Linked DNA regions of Tamandua tetradactyla. The protein of the gene in region 2 purifies or fractionates together with the protein of the main gene of each other region. This does not show direct contact. Links are inferred from orthologs where the notes say so. Each region holds a gene or a part of one and is shown on either strand. Other genes may lie near its edges.

What was found. Proteins that work in one complex are often made in the same cells at the same time.
Region 1: the proteins of CUL1 (region 2) and FBXO9 purify together in Homo sapiens (affinity purification with mass spectrometry; 4 studies listed by BioGRID and IntAct, with this or other methods). This does not show direct contact. The link is inferred for Tamandua tetradactyla from reciprocal best matches to the Homo sapiens genes CUL1 and FBXO9.

Annotation. Positions count from the first base shown.
Region 1 is NC_135331.1:111,633,687-111,641,397, forward strand, and holds the start of FBXO9 (F-box only protein 9), read left to right. Parts: upstream 1-4,698; 5' UTR 4,699-4,713; coding exon of another isoform or gene 4,714-5,091; coding exon 5,092-5,094; coding exon of another isoform or gene 5,095-5,124; exon of another isoform or gene 5,125-5,485; intron 5,486-5,608; coding exon of another isoform or gene 5,609-5,627; exon of another isoform or gene 5,628-5,776; intron 5,777-7,711. Other genes in the region: uncharacterized protein LOC143684790, read right to left, coding at 4,714-5,124.
Region 2 is NC_135327.1:192,784,192-192,792,106, reverse strand, and holds the start of CUL1 (cullin-1), read right to left. Parts: upstream 3,002-7,915; 5' UTR 2,739-3,001; intron 2,684-2,738; exon of another isoform or gene 2,487-2,683; intron 2,387-2,486; exon of another isoform or gene 2,199-2,386; intron 2,019-2,198; exon of another isoform or gene 1,817-2,018; intron 1,427-1,816; exon of another isoform or gene 1,207-1,426; intron 1,188-1,206; exon of another isoform or gene 1,106-1,187; intron 1-1,105. UniProt on the Homo sapiens protein: Core component of multiple cullin-RING-based SCF (SKP1-CUL1-F-box protein) E3 ubiquitin-protein ligase complexes, which mediate the ubiquitination of proteins involved in cell cycle progression, signal transduction and transcription.

The DNA.
Region 1 (7,711 bases), on a different chromosome or scaffold from region 2:
GCCGGCTCCGGAACTGGAAACCCGGGTGATGCCTGCTAAGAGAGGCCGAGAGGTCCATGCAGGGACCCCCTGGAGGTCCGGAGAATCGCACGGGCCGTGCGGCGCATGGTGGTGCAGCAGGAACCCGGCTGCTTTCCAGCCTCCGGCAGGAAAACAAACAAAAGGCTGGGTGGCTTCTAGTGGGGACGACCGACTGCTTTCCCTGGGAAAAGTTACCCTGCAGCTCCCCTCTCTGGCTCTGCGCGTCCTTGCATCGCGTCCAGGCCGCCCAGAGGGCGCCGAGCCGCTCCGCTCCTCTCTCTGCAAAGGGCTAGACCCCACCCGGGATCCCCGCTGCGAGCGGATCACGAATGCCACCTCCCACTCCAAATGCCACCCTTGCTGCAGTCGGTTGCATCAAATAGCAGGGTTTAGAAATGGAGGCTGTTGATGCATGTTCTGAGAACATTGAACTGAAGGTAATCAAGGTGAAAACGTTTTCCTGATTTTAAAAAAGGCAACCGATTAGCTGGTAGCAGCATTCATTTGCACTTTTAAGAGCTTTTATATTGTTAGCAATTTGGGATTGAAAGAATTGGAAGACTGGATTGTTAACCAGGTGAGAAACTAAGTATCCTCTACACAACAATTTTCTTTCAGTGTGTATCTAGGTATCAGAAATGTAACACCATCTACTTTTTAAACACTTTCCTTTATGTCATCAAGACATGCTAGACATTACCTTAAATCATCCATGTAAGGATTGCCTGGAAAAAAACTGCTTTGAGGTCTGAGATTTAAATTTACATAATTGTCCTAAACCAGTGGTTCTCAAAATCTAGCAGAAGGCAACCCAATCACCTGGATAGCTTGTTAGAGCTTGGATTCCTGGGCCCCACCCTTAGAGTTTCCCCGTACAGATACTGCTGGTCAGGGAAATACAGGTTGGGAACCACTGCCACAAGCAACACAATTTTAATTAACAAGGTAGCAATCCTCTGCCACATTGTGGCTCTTTCTGTAAGTTTAACTTCCCAATACATCACAATATCAATTTTCTCATTATTTTTGCTTTGGAATTTTAACTGGAGACTCTCCCCCTCCCCAGGGAGAATCTAAATCCCTCTTTCTCCTTGGTCCTGTTGAAGAAACCTACAAGATATGGGACAATCACACTTCTTTCTTTCTTTTTTAACTGATATATTTTGTATATTCACATACCATGTATCATCCAAAGCGTACAATGAATGGTTCACAATATCATATTGCTGTGCATTTATCATCAAAATTGACTTATTTTTTTCTTCTTTGTGTAAAGCAACTGTTCTAGTTTGCTAGCTTCTGGAATGCAATGAAAGACTGGTTTTCAATAAAAGGGATTTATTTTGTTAATGTATAGTTCTTCAGAGGAAAGGCAGCTTTCAACTGAGGTTCTTTCTTACATGGGAAGGCACAGGGCAATCTCTGCTGGCCTTCTCTCCAGGCCTCTGGATTCCAACAACTTTCCCTGGAGTGAATCCTTTCTGCATCTAAAAAGGCTTGGCTGTGAGCTGTGAGTGCTGAGATGAGGTATGCTGAGCTGCTTTGGCTGTGCTATTGACCTCTCTCATTTAAGCTTCCAGCCAATTAAATCAAACATCATTCATTACAGCAGACAAGCCTCCTAGCTGACTGCAGATGTAATCAGCAACAGATGAGGTTCACATGCCATTGGCTCATGTCCACAGCAACAGAACTAGGTAGCTTCCTTCATCTGGCCAATTTGATACCTGAACCTAACTACCACAGCAACATTTATACAAAAAATCAATAGATTTCAAAGCATATCACAACAATCAGTCACAGAACAGATTTCAGAGTCTGGCATGGTCACAACTCCACAATTTTAGGTCTTAACTTCTAGCTGCTCCAAGATACCAGAAACCAAAAGAAACATCAATACAATGATTCAGCAATCAACTCATCTGCCAAACCCCACCATCCCTGTACAACCCCACCATCATTCTTGATCCCTCTCCCACTCCCCTGGGTATCAGGGCTATGCCCATTCTACCCCGCCCCACCCCTCCCCTCACACACACACATGGTGGATGGGGCTGTTGATAATATGGGATAGGAGGATGGAACTAGTTGATGTTGTAGAGAGGCTGGTCCCTCTGCATTATCTGGCCCAGGGTCTCATCTGGAGGTTGCAGATTTCTGGAAAGCTACCCGAGTGCTTGGAACCAGTATAGAATCTTATATAATGCCATAGGTGTTCTTTAGGATTGGCAGGAATGGTTTTGGTTAGGGTTTGGCAAGCTATGATAGGTAGCAATGTTTAACTGAAGCCTATGCAAGAGTGACTTCTAGAGGAGCCCCTCGACTCCACCCAAACTCCCTGAGCCACTGATACTCTATCGGCCACACTCCCTCGGCCCCTACCTGGCCAGGACGGCACCACTGATCCCATGGTGCCAGGGCCAGGCCCATCCCCAAGAGAAACCCCCATGCCACCAGGGAGACCCTCACTCCCAGATGCCATGCCCCATGTAGGGGGAAGCACAATAAACTCACCTACAGAGTTGGGCCCCGAAACAGAGAGGCCACACCTGAGCAACAAAACTTGGGTCCTCCAGAAGCAACTCCCAGTTATACCCATAGGTAGGTCAAGCTTCTCTGCCACATACACAAGCTTCTGAAGAGCAAGCTTCAAGATCAAGGTCCTGGCCCATTGACCTGGGTGTCCCCAATGTTTGACACAGCAACAGCAGCTTCCCTGGTGGTAAAGCCCAATAGCTCCATATTTTTTTCTCCCATCCCTCCAAGGGATTCCACCAACACTTCTCGACCATTACAATCACACTTCTTCAGACATTCTTTCCCAAATATGAAAGGGTCATCTAGCCCCTTAGCAAATATAGAACATCTATCTACTAGTTTACCTATAAAACATCCTTGCCATAAATTGAAAATCATTAATAATTTAAAGGCAGGGAGACAAGAGGAAGCCTAAGAAATCATCCCCAAATTCTTAAGGTATATGTCTAATAATACTCTCACGAAAGGAGATTTTTAAAGTAACTAAAATCCTCAGTTTTACTTAGTGACATTAAGATGTCCAAGCAACAGAAGGACCATCATGGTCTACTTTTAGCAAGGATCCCCTGACATAGTACGTGGCTTAGGACAGAAGTTCTAGACTCAGGAAAATTAAAACTGTAAATATATATGATGACATAATATAACCCTATAAAGAGGTCCAGTGGATACAAGAACTGATCTAAATTACAAAATTAGTAGCTGTGAAGCATAACAGCTATTGAATAAAATATTTGTTCACCTTATCTTTACAACTATTAATTATTTTATTAAGCATTATTTAATTGCTTTCTAGGATAATAAAAATCATCCATGCTAACTGACCAGGATATCTTAAGGTAATATTCAACAGATTTAACGAAATAGACTAGTTCTGAAAATATTTCAATACTTCATTCTTCATGTGCAAAACTGACCTTTCCAATATGTCACATTTTTTTATTTTCTTCTGTTATAAATCCTTATATCAAACCCTTTTCTTCAATTTAAATGTCATTATCCAATTTTAAAGAAATCATTGGGAGGAATGTCAGTTTTAAGAATCCTCAGCTCTGGAGTGTCCTTTAAAACTAAAATCTATTAAGTTTTTGGCCTCGATTAAACGTAAAGATACTTTTTATAGATGTACAGTGTAAATAAAAACTCACCCATCCGAAGGGTGGATCCTAACATTAAGACACGGCACTTATGTCTTCCTTATTTTAGTTCAGTATTCTCCTCTCAACTTTTTTTTGCCTCCATTTCTTCGCAAAGGGATTAGTAATTTTAAACGCTATGAGTTCCTTCAATGTCTTGGAATCTTGATAACTATTAGCCCCAGGCATCGAGGAGAAATTTTAAAAACTCGGTGTTTGCTGGATGTAAGTAAAAACTATAAAGACTATGGGTTTTCATAGAACACACTCAAACTTTACGTTAATTTTTTTAAACTTTTAATAAAACATGGTCTGAAAAATAAAATGAAGTCTGACAAATATAGCCTTAAATCAGGAGTTTGCACTTTAAGAGGTGGAGCGAGGACATTGCGTGAGCTCCCGCGCGCATCGCAGACAAGGAGACTACAAATCCCTGAATGCCACGCGGACGAAGTCACCGCAGGATTCCACTGTCAGGGCCTGGGAACTGTACCGTCCCCCCACCGTTGCACGATGGGATTTGTAGTGAGACAATCTTCGTGTTGAACTGAGTTGTCCATTGCCTCTGCTCGCTCCTCTCCTAAGCTCATCTTTTCCTCAACCTCCAGACCTATGTGTGCTCTTTAAAAGTTTGTTTATAACAGTTTGCCACTATTGCGAAGTCTCACTGTTTCGCGGCATTTCTGGCGCTGGACTTTAGCCAGATTTCCCGAGGACTGTGTGGTGACCGTCCGAAGCACCCACTTCGATGCCCTTTAGTGCAGTTGACAGCCGGCTGGGTCTCAGCCCAAAATTTGGGTTACAATATTTTAGAGATAATGCCTGTTCAAGTCTGTATGCGTGCCCACTGAACCAAATGCGTGGACTGAGGTTGGGCTAATTTGTGCCCTCGCCCGAGGACTGGCTTGCGCACACAGTAGACCCATCCGCAAACCTCCAGGCGGCGCAGTGGCGCACTCAGGGCCAAGCATCCCGGCCGAGCTCGCCGGACCAGCGGCGACGGCGGCATTGCGCATGCTCACTGCTCCAGTGCAGGTTTCCGCAGCCTAGGGGGCAACTCCGCGGCGGTGTCCGGGGTCTCCAGCGGGGCGGACGCGCCAGTGCTCGCACAGTCCTCCGCTTCGGCTGGCAGCTGGCGCACCTCTGCTCCTCCAGCCCCCGGCCGCCGTCGCCGCTTCAGCGTGCCCCGATCTGGCCCCCTGCCCCGCGAAGATGGCTGCCGTACGCCGGGCCCGCAGTTACTGCCGCTGCCTGGTGCGCTTCTCCGACCGAGAACTCTGCTAAGCCCTGCTGCAGCAAACAGGCAGAAGTAGACATCTAGCACCCCTCCCCAGGGGGTGTGGTGCAGAGGGGGGCGCACAGAGCCTCTGGACCGCGGCCGTCTGCGCACGCCAGCATGGTAAACTGGGGAACGGGCTCGGGGACCCATTGGGTGCGGTGTGTGTGCGTGTGTGGGTGGGTGGGGGGGGTGATGGTTGTGCGAGAGGCCAGGCCAGGGGGAGTCCCTAGGGAGGATGAAGGGACTACTGGGAGGAGTGGGAGCTGCACGACGGCCTCCCAGTGCAATGATCTCTGACCCTAGAGGCGGTGCACAGCTCTGTCGACTCCCCTAGGTTCATTCTTGCTGAACCCTTCAGCCGGGACTCAATGTGAGGGGAGGGGGGTAGCGGGGCAAAACAGCTAAGAAATATGCCTCTTCTCGGTACACTGAGGGCATTGAACCACCCTCGTCCTGTCAAGGGATTTTATCAAGAGCAGTGAGCCAAGATTAAGGTCAGCCGTCGCAGCATCTAAAATCGGGAAAGAATCTTGGCTAGCAGAGACACTTGTTGATTGCCCCCCCCCCCCCCCCCGGAAAGTCATACCCACAGAGGGTGTAGGGCTCTGTAAGGATTCCTGCGTTTAGGACGCACCTGCCCTGTGAGGCGTCATTGCCGTGGCGGGGAGGTGTTGGCAGGCAGTCCTGGCAGCTTGGAGTTGAAGGAACCTTCTCCAACAGCCGTGAGGGCCAGAGCAGCGTCAGCGCCGTCCAATTGAAGATACTGAGCTAATCTCCGGAGTTTGACAGAGCAAATTCCACGAGACTGTTGCATGCTGGAATATGTAGTCGCTGCCCTATGCAGCCGTATTTGTGCAAGTGAAAGCCTCGCATTGGTTTCCAATAAATTGTCCACCCGAGAAACTAATCTTTGGCCAAGTTTGAGTATTAAGGATGAGATGATGCCCAACTACTTAGTTCATAGTAGATACTCAAGTAATTATTGAATAAATGAATAGTTGACTGAGGGTTTGTTGTTATTATTAAATTAACCTGGAGAATAGCAGAAAAAGCACTCATTAGTCTTGCCCCTAAACTTTCAGAAGTAGTTCACTTTCAGAAGAGCTTCTGTTCACCAGAATTAAGCACTCTTATTCTTTATATCACAATAATCTTATCTGTGGAACAGGAGTAAACAAACTGATGAATACATGAGTTACTCAAAAGAACATGAGCTACTCAAGTGAGATGTGTTTAGTTCAAACTTGATAATGAAAAATAAAGTAAAAATCTCTGGGTCGCCACTGAAGACCTACTTACTTCAAGTGGTATTTGATTTGACAAAATCTAAAAATCCTCAAGTTTGATAGTTTCTTGGTGTTTTTGTGATAATATTTAAATGGCTAGGATAAAAGTAAAAGTAGTAACGGATTAGAATTCTGACACAGAAACTCGGGGGAAGAACGATGCTACCTATATTATAGACTTCCTTCTTCATTTCATACATCTATGAGACATGCATTGTATTCATATAGCATTTTATTTGTTTCTTCAACCAGATTTTTTTTTATCCCTATAGCTTGGTACAGTACTAGACCCTGGTATGGTACTCAGTCTTCAATATAATCGAAATCTGTAAAATGATTTGTGGTAAACTTTAGAATATCACATATGAGAAGAGATCTCGGAGATCACCAAATCCAAATTCTCTTTACAGGTGAGACAACTGAGGCCTAGTCAGGCATTTACTGTGAACCAAGCAGTGTGTTTGGCTCTCCAGTTACAAAATGAATAAGTCCTGATCTCTGCTCTTGGTACAGTAACTCTCACAGAGGAGACAAAATTAATCTTAGTACAGTCATAAATGTTGTGATACAAAGTAAGACCAAGTGTTAGGGGAACACAAAAGAAGCAATTTGGAGGATTAGAAAATGCTTCCTACTGGATGATTCCTGACCTGAGCTAAATCTTGAAGGATGAATAGATGCAACCAAATGAGAGGAGGGATAAGGCATTCTGGATGGAGAGAGCAACCCATGCAAGAGCCCACAATGTGGAGAGCATGGGAAGCTCTTCAAACTAAGGCGCTTTAGTATGACTGCTGGGCAAAGAGTTAGGAAAAGCTCTAAGAGCCTTGAAAGTTATCGTAGGAAATTCAGGTCTTCTCCCATTAGCTGTACTTATAAATAACAGTAAATAAAGTTGTTGTTTTTTTTTTTTTTTGAGAAGAGAAATATACTTGTCAATGGGCTCCATAAGTTCTTTATTATGTTTTTACTACCAGTAATATTCTTTATTTTTTTCTTTGTAAAAGTTCCCTGCTTAAAGAGCCTCAGGAAAAAAAAATGTATTTGACTGTATTTTAAGTGTTTAAATGTTCTGTTCAGCTCAGTTTCCTGAAAGTTTCTTGGTGATTCATTTATTTATTCACCAGTTTAACCTTGATAGTGTGCCAAGCACTGTACACTAGTTATGGTAACTATTTCAAGTCTTGCAGGTACCGCCTCTGTTTTAAGTCTGGTAGCCAGAGATAAGATAGGAATCAAGGCTTATTTATGCTGAGTTGTAGAGTAGTACAAGTATATGTGGTTGCGTGTTAAAAAATTTGCACTAATGTGAACATTTTTGCCCAGGAAATAACTCAAACTGAAATTTGCAATAGTAATACTTAGCGTCTTTGAAACTGGTAAAGTTAAATAGGTTTTATTATTGTATTTATGACTGTCTTTAAAGTAATTTCCTTAATTGCACATTTCTA
Region 2 (7,915 bases):
GCAAAGGATGCAAAAATAAATACTCCATGCCTTCAAGGAATTCATAGACTGAAAAGTATTGGTGATAATTGACTAAATCAAGACTATGTTAATTATCACTAAGAGATATAGACTAATGAGCTTTAATCTAAGGAAATAGGTGCAGAACTGACTTACTCATTCATCTCAGTCTTCTGATATGCTAAGCATTAGGAATGGGGAGCATGACTACAAGCTGAGAGCATGTGGTTCTGGGAGAGAAAGACTGGGTTTTTAAAATTGGTGAACAAATCCTAGTATAAAGTTTTGGGTTTGCTTGTTTTTTTGTTGTTGTTGTTTGTTTTGGCAAAATAGTTTTTAAAAAGACGATGCTGGTGATGAAAAATAGTTTAACATTTTTAGAAAGTGATTTTTTTTTTTACTCTGAATGTAAACATTTTTAGAAAGTTTGGGCCACCTCTATCAAGTTAATGGGCACTCTTGTGAAACCTCCAAAAATGGGCATAGTAGAGTTAAAGTAAGCCGGTCTTGTGTTTGCATGCTTCGGAATCTGAAATGTGCTGCAACTATTTCTACTTAACATGGAAAGCAACAAACAGACCTTTCAGATAAAAAAAAATCTCCTAATATACAGGAACCTTTTTTTAGTTTCACACCCAAATTTTTAAACAAAAACTGCTGGTTTTGCTTTTTCAGCAAAACCATACATTTTACTACACAATACATAAACTCTCCAGGGTTTCAGAAAATCAGGTAGAGAGTGGTCACAAAACGAAGTGTTAAATTAAAAACTACATTTACATTTTTTTTAATTTAGCGGAGGGTTAAACGTTTAAGTCACAGAAGCGCATGGCTGAAAGTAAAAATGAAATTTAGCTGACACTCCAATAAGTTCATTTCAATAATGTGAACACTTACTCCACTCATAATTGACTATTTGAATGCCACTACAGGAAAAAGCAATTACAAAGAGCAAATAAATACTTAAACAAGTTGACTGCAATTCAATATTTGCACATTTACCACCACTACGAACTAAAAGCAACAGACCGACCCAACCTCAAAAGAATCCAAGTTTTGGCAGAGAACTAGTTACGATGAGAAAACCCTTACTTTGGGGACTAACCTCAAAAAAAATTTGAGAGAGCACTACTCTCTTTAAATTATGCCTGCATTACACAGGTGGCAGCAAGATAGGACTTTCGGGCCTTGGGAATAAATACATACAACTCTCGAGGCTCGGGACCCCAATTCCACACAGCTTCAGCCGAGCGCCCCCCGTTTACCTCCGGGGCCACTCGCCGCGCGCTTCCGCGCGGCGCCGGGGACGCGCCGAGGCTGCAACGCAGGGCCCGGTTGGACTCTTCAGCGTACCGCGAGCGCCGAGAAGCTCCGTCCGGTTCCGCGGCCGCATTCGCATCCCCGTGCGCCCGGCAAGCGCGGTGCCCCCTCCCCCATCCCACTCCCCGCAAGAGAATGGAGCAAATGAGCCATTATTACCCAATAATAGCAACCTCAACCACTCGCAACAATGAAGGCTGGGAACCCTAGAGCCCCGGCGGTGGACAGGGAACCGGAAAGCAAAAGGGCCCTATTTCGCAGCTCTGCTGCTTCCCCGGACAGCCTCTCTGAGCGCAGACGAGTACTTACTTAAGAGCACGAGTAAAGGGTGAAAGTGCAGCATGGGGCAGAAGAGTGATCCAGGAAGGGGACAAGGAAGAAAAGGCAGAAGTCGGAGGGGCTCACGTGGAGACGGGGAGTCACGCAGGGGTTGCCTGCACGAGGGGAGGCGAAGCACCAGACTCCCGAGTAGCCAGGGACCAGTCGCCGCACCTACCTCTCCTACCGCGGCTGGAAAGAGGTCGGCGCGTCAAGGCCGCCTCCTTCAGGCGCGATGAATCGGGCTTTTTCCCAGTGCGTAGGTCCAGGCCTGGCCGCGCAGAGCGCCTCCGGGGCCGCGGCTCGGCCAGGCCCGGGCCAGCCGGAGTGACTCAGGGCTGGAGTCTCTGTTCGCTCCCTCCCCACCCCTCGCGTCCTCAGTCTGCCAGACCCCCAGCCCCGGCTACCATTCCGTCCCGCCGTGGGCTCAGGCCTCGCCCGACGCCTGGGCTCGGCCGCCGCGGCCCCAGTCACTGCGACACCGCGGCTCGAGCCCGGGCCTGCGCCGCCGCCAGTGCTTCCCCTCGGCCCCGCCTGCCGAACCCGCCGCCAACACTCACCCGCATTGCCCCCGGTGTTTTACAGGCTCCGGCAACGTCTTCACCTCCTCGCTGGGCCCGGGGTCCGATTAAATCCCCGTCCCGCCAAGGTCTGGCTGCGTCCCTCAGCCACAGGGGCCGCCCCGCCTGGAGCTGCGTGCGACACCCGCTCCCTCCTCCTTCTCCTCCTCCCCTGCCCGCCGGTCCGTCCCTCCTCCTGCCGCTGCCGCCGTCGCGGCTGCCGCTAGCACCACGCAACCTCCGCCCTCTCGCCTTTACTCCCTCGGCTCCCCGCCCTCCCCGCCTCACCGGCTTAGGCTACCGGGTGGGAGAAGCTGTTGGGGGAGGGCCGAAACGCTCCGCCATCGGCGTCCGGGATGGGGGAGCTGGGAAACCGCCGCCGCCATCTCCCCACAAGCGGGAGGCGCGGGAGGGGCCCGGAAACGTCCAACTCGTCCTGGTCCTTTCCCCTCAGAGCCTCAGATAGAGGGTCACTGCCTCCAAGAGTCAAACCCCCCTCCCCCAATCTGCAGAGGCCCCGCTCGCATTAGTTATTTCTACCTGAAAGCCCATTGCCTTTTCTGCGTGAACACGCGTCGCCATCCCCAGCCGAGCGCACGGGATCCTCCTCCAGGTTTTACGGACTCCCTCTCCTTAGGGCGGCCTCTAAAGAACTGCGTTCCCGCCACTTCATACCTAACGAGGAGGGTTAACCTTTATAAGTTGGTGGCACTAGCCTCTGGAGAAACTGCCCTCAAAGCACCCTGAAGGAGAGGATGTTGCACCTCCTCCTGCCCCCTCTCCTGTGTGCAGTGTACACACAACAGACACACACACACACCCCGTAAGCTAACACGGAACACAACTACACCCAGTTACTAATGCCTCGTCGGACAGGGAGATAAACCAAAAGTAATATCCCCGACTGGCTGATAAGAAAGCCCAGGATGGGAAAGTGGCCCTGAAAATCAGGTGCAGACTTTAGAGTAAAATGTTGTAGATTCTCTACCCTTTACACCTGCAGGCTTTAGGAATAAGTATCTGGAAACCTGAGATTATCACCATCTCTTAAAGTGTTTAAAAAAATAAAATCCAACTAGGCTCCCCTTATCAAATCCTTTAACTAACTCATTTTGGGCAAATTTTGGCAATGATTCATTTATCCTTGTAAAGATGAACCAAGAATAGATAATTTAAGAATTTGGTATGAGATGTGACTAAAATAGTTTTAACTGAAGTCTGAAGTAGTTAGACCCATTAATTTGAAAATTAACCGGACATAATGATCAACTTGAAATATTCAAATTAAATACAAACTTTGGTAGCACAGATAGCCACCACCCTACTTCCTGTGGCGGCAGAGGCTGGAGAAAGTGGGCTCTTGCTGCACACTTGGTTACCTATCAGCTAACCAAAAGAAATGAAGAATGTAACTTTCTTTGCTCAGAACTAAAGCACTACAGAGCTTCTAGTACCACCTTGGGCAGAAATCCTCTGCACAATGCAGAGGGCGTCCCCAAAGAGCTGCACACATTAGAAACTTCCCAAGTAGTTTCCCTCATAAGCAATTTCCCACCAATTTATTTGGTTCTTCCTATTGAAATGCAGTCTTTTCTCAACATCTGTTAAGTATCTTTAGAAGTATTGTGCTTATATATATTTGTCATAAAAATATGTAATTCTCCATTTTGCGCAGGGGGTTAAAAAAACTTGTTGGGTTCATATCCTACCCTTCTAAATAACAAGTTGAAGGAAAACTTTTTTTTTTTTTTTGGCACGGGCAGGCTCCAGGAATCGAACAAGGGTCTCCAGCTGGGCAGGTGAGAACTCTTGCCACTGAGTTGGTCAGCCTTCATTTTAATGTTAGCTTCCTTCACCCTCTATTTTTCCTCAATGGAAGTATTTAGTCCACCTATACTACCTTCTCCACTTCTTATTGCTTCCTGTACTGATCTTAACCTCCTTCTGCCCTTCACTCATTAGAATTCCATCAATTTTTATGTCTGCTTCACAACCAGGTTACATATACAACCACCTTCATTCTGGGCATGTAACCCTTCTTCCCACCTAACTGATCAAGGCCATTTACCCTATTTCCACTTAAAATATCCTTCCTCCATGTTTCTTCCCCCTCTCAGCGAAATTGTTGTCCCTCTTTCAGGTGACCCAAAGTTTGGAGGGATAATTAATTTGATAGATATCAATCAAGATTCGAAAGAGTCTCAAAAAACTAGACTAGAATATTAAACTAAAACCAGTGAAATAAAATATAATTTCACAAATCTAAAACAATATGACATGACTGAAAAAGCCTAAGTTTTAGATCTAGGCAGACGTTGGGTTACATCTAGACTCAGTATCTTTTGCTCTAATTAAGCCATCTGTTAAATGGGGATAGAAATACTACCTCATAAGATTTTTATGAAGATTAATTCCTTTAAAATTCCAGCATAATTCCTGAAACATTCTCTGAGTGTTAGTTTACTTCCTTCACCTCATCTTCCACAAAGTAGAAGTCCACTGATTTCTCTATTTTTGTTGATGATACTAACATTTTTTGTCACATAGGCCTGGAAACTGAAAATACTGACCCATGTAGCTTGCATCTCAGAGCTAGCCATCATCCTAGGTAAATATTTTCTCTGTTTTGGCTCTGTGTATGGAAGTAGGTATTATCATCATTACAACCACTCCCCAATGGAAACACCTGGGGAGTAGAGATATTAGGCAATTTACTTCAAATCACTCAGTTTGATCAGTGGTGTAACCTCAACCAGAGACACCCAAGTCCATGTATATTCACTACTACACTGTGCTATTTCTCACATCTATACTATTTCTTTGAACTTCTAAATGGTTTTCCTAGTTCTTGTCTCTTCCCCATCCTTCTTGCCTGTGTAGTGACTGTAGGTTATTCCTTATAAACTGATACCTTCATCATTGTACTTTTGTCCTTTCAAACTTTTCAGTGACTCCTCATAGTTTATAAGGCTCAGTCTAAACTTTGACTTGGTACTTAAAGTTTACCATAAACTTATCCCAATTTACTTTTCCAAATTTATTTCCAGCCACTTCCAAAAAGGAACTCTCAACTCTATCCAATTCTGTTGGGCCTACTCATTGACCCACAAATGTCAGTCAGCTTTGAATCACCACTTAAAAATGCTTATTTCCATTTGTTTCTTGTACAGAAATAGTTCCCTCCTCCTTCCTATGTTTCCAAGTCATGCTCACTTTTCAAGATCCAGCTGCCCTTTCTTTCCCTCCCAGGAAGACTACCTTGTACCTTCTACCAAGCATCTTGTAATCTCTCCCTATTTCCCAACTTCTCACATGTGCTTTTAAAGCTATCTAGTCTGTGCAAAGAAGATGCAAAATGTTTGTTTGCTAATCAATTGAAAGGGTATTGTGTCATTTGATTAGCTTTATGAACCAGAAATGGGTAAGGAACTAGACATCCAGTACAAAGTAAATTGACTTTTGATGGTTCCCAAACCTGATTTGCTTGAGAATCACATTGGGACTTAAATACTAATTCAGGGTTCCTGTCCAGCAAAATTGGGTGGGGAGGAAGAGGGAGAAAATTTGAAAGTACCAGAGTTTATATTCTGAGGTCACTATGTACTACTTGGGTAAATTTGAGCAAATTACTTAATTTCTCTGTGTCTCAATTTCTTCATCTATCATGACAATAAGTATATCTCATATAGAGTTGTTGTAAGTTAAACACTTAATAAATACCTGTGATGATGACTATTATAATGATTATATATCACCCCAATGCCAATCCGGTGGTCTGAGTTTGGGAATCATTTATTTAATGAACCAGTCTTCTTTCAAATGTTATGACCTTAAAACTTCCAGTATTACACATATGACATATTGCAATAAATCTTATTTGTCTTAGAATACTGTAATTATTTTAAGGAAGAGGAGCCAAGTAAATTAGATTTTTCAATTAAATTTGTTTATTTAATTCAAATCACGAAATATACATTATTCATGATTTCATGAAAAACTAGTTCCTCTTATAAAAATAACTGCAAATATGCTATAAACTAGACAGAGTAATTCAAACCAGGTTAGTTCAAAGGAAGCACAAAAAAGAAGTAATAACATGATTTCTCAACTTAGGACAAAGAGTCATAATTCTTTTTGAAGAAGGTATTTAAATCCTTTAATTCATCAGAAAAAAATTCATAGTTCATTTTTGTCTATCTAATGACAGACAGGATTTTAATCTTATTTAGATGAAGCTAGATGTACAATATGAAGCAGAAATTTACCTACCCAAGACACAAACTATGAATGGGGAACACAGGATGGTTAGAGCCTCCATCTCAACTCTTGACTTATAAATGGCCTTTACACAGAAAGTGTGACTGCACTACACAAAAGGTCTGGTTTTAGTGCCTGGAATTCCATCAAAGGTTCTTAAGTATCCTCTCTTAAAGATTTAAATAGCTCTGGAGAGAGCTTGATAGTCATCCATTCATTAGCATTGACTAGTTTAATCAGGTTGTTTTCTTTCTGACACAGATCAGTAGCATCTAAAGAAAGGGAAGTTTTGGACAAATCAAGCTTGGGTGCAAATTGTGCACATCAGCTGGAGGCCTTGGGACCAGAGATCCTGGGGAGAGGAGTGTTAAGGAATGGAAGGAAATGCAAGACAGGAGATGGGAGGATTTGAAAATCTAATGTTTCCAATTTCAGATTTTGCATATTGTCTGTCCTAGATCTCTTGTTTGTGAATCTAGAAGTTAGAAAATACTGCTATAAGATAATTATTAGTTAAATAGGCTTTTGAGGTCTGACCTGGGACTAAACACCATCATAGCATTTATTAAGTTTGGCCATATGAAATTACCACTAATTTGCAAATGACATTAGAAAATTATACTGAGTTCAGGAAAATTGACATAAAATTAGTTCTTCCTAGAAGCTTTCTATGGCCCTCCATGCTTCGACCCACCCCTACCCCTGGATTAGGTACCTTTCTTGTGTAATTCTTTTGTATGTACTTAATCTTATTAAAGATTTTGTAGTATTGCATTTTAGTTTTTTTTCCCCTTCTATATCTCCCTTTCCCTCCAGATTGTGAATTCCTTGAATTCTGGTACTGTATCTTTTATTACTCTATCTACAGTATGTAGCTTAGTGCCTGGTACATAGTATACTGAAAGAGTGGTTGAAACACAACTCGTGCATAAATTGGAATTGTTTGTACTCTGAATCCTGGTCACTTCACTTTCCTACTCCCACAAGACCTTTAATAATTCCTTGTTTCCTATCCAAAGAATTACAAGCACTTCTTTCTCAGTATTGAAACGTCTTCTGCACTTTGGCTCCAATAGATCAATCCATACTATCACCTGCTGGTTTCCTATACATATCGTGCTAGACCCAAACTGGACTCCTTGTGAAATCAAATAGGCCCCATGCATTTCATCATCCACCAATACCTTCCATATGAAATGTTCTTCTCCAATTGCTGCAACTCCAAATACAATCCATTATTCTAGGCCTACTTTAAAAGCAATCTCTTTAGTGAAACCTTCCCTCTCCTCTACTAGATGTGAATTCCACCCCTCCCTTCACAAGGGGTAAGCTCCTTAAAGATGTTCTTAAACAAGCTTATATCTCTAGAGTATTTAGCAAGATACACTGGACATAGTAAATGGCCCTTTATTTCTCTAAAAAGTTACAGTCATTGCTTCAACTTTCCTACCTCCTAGTGA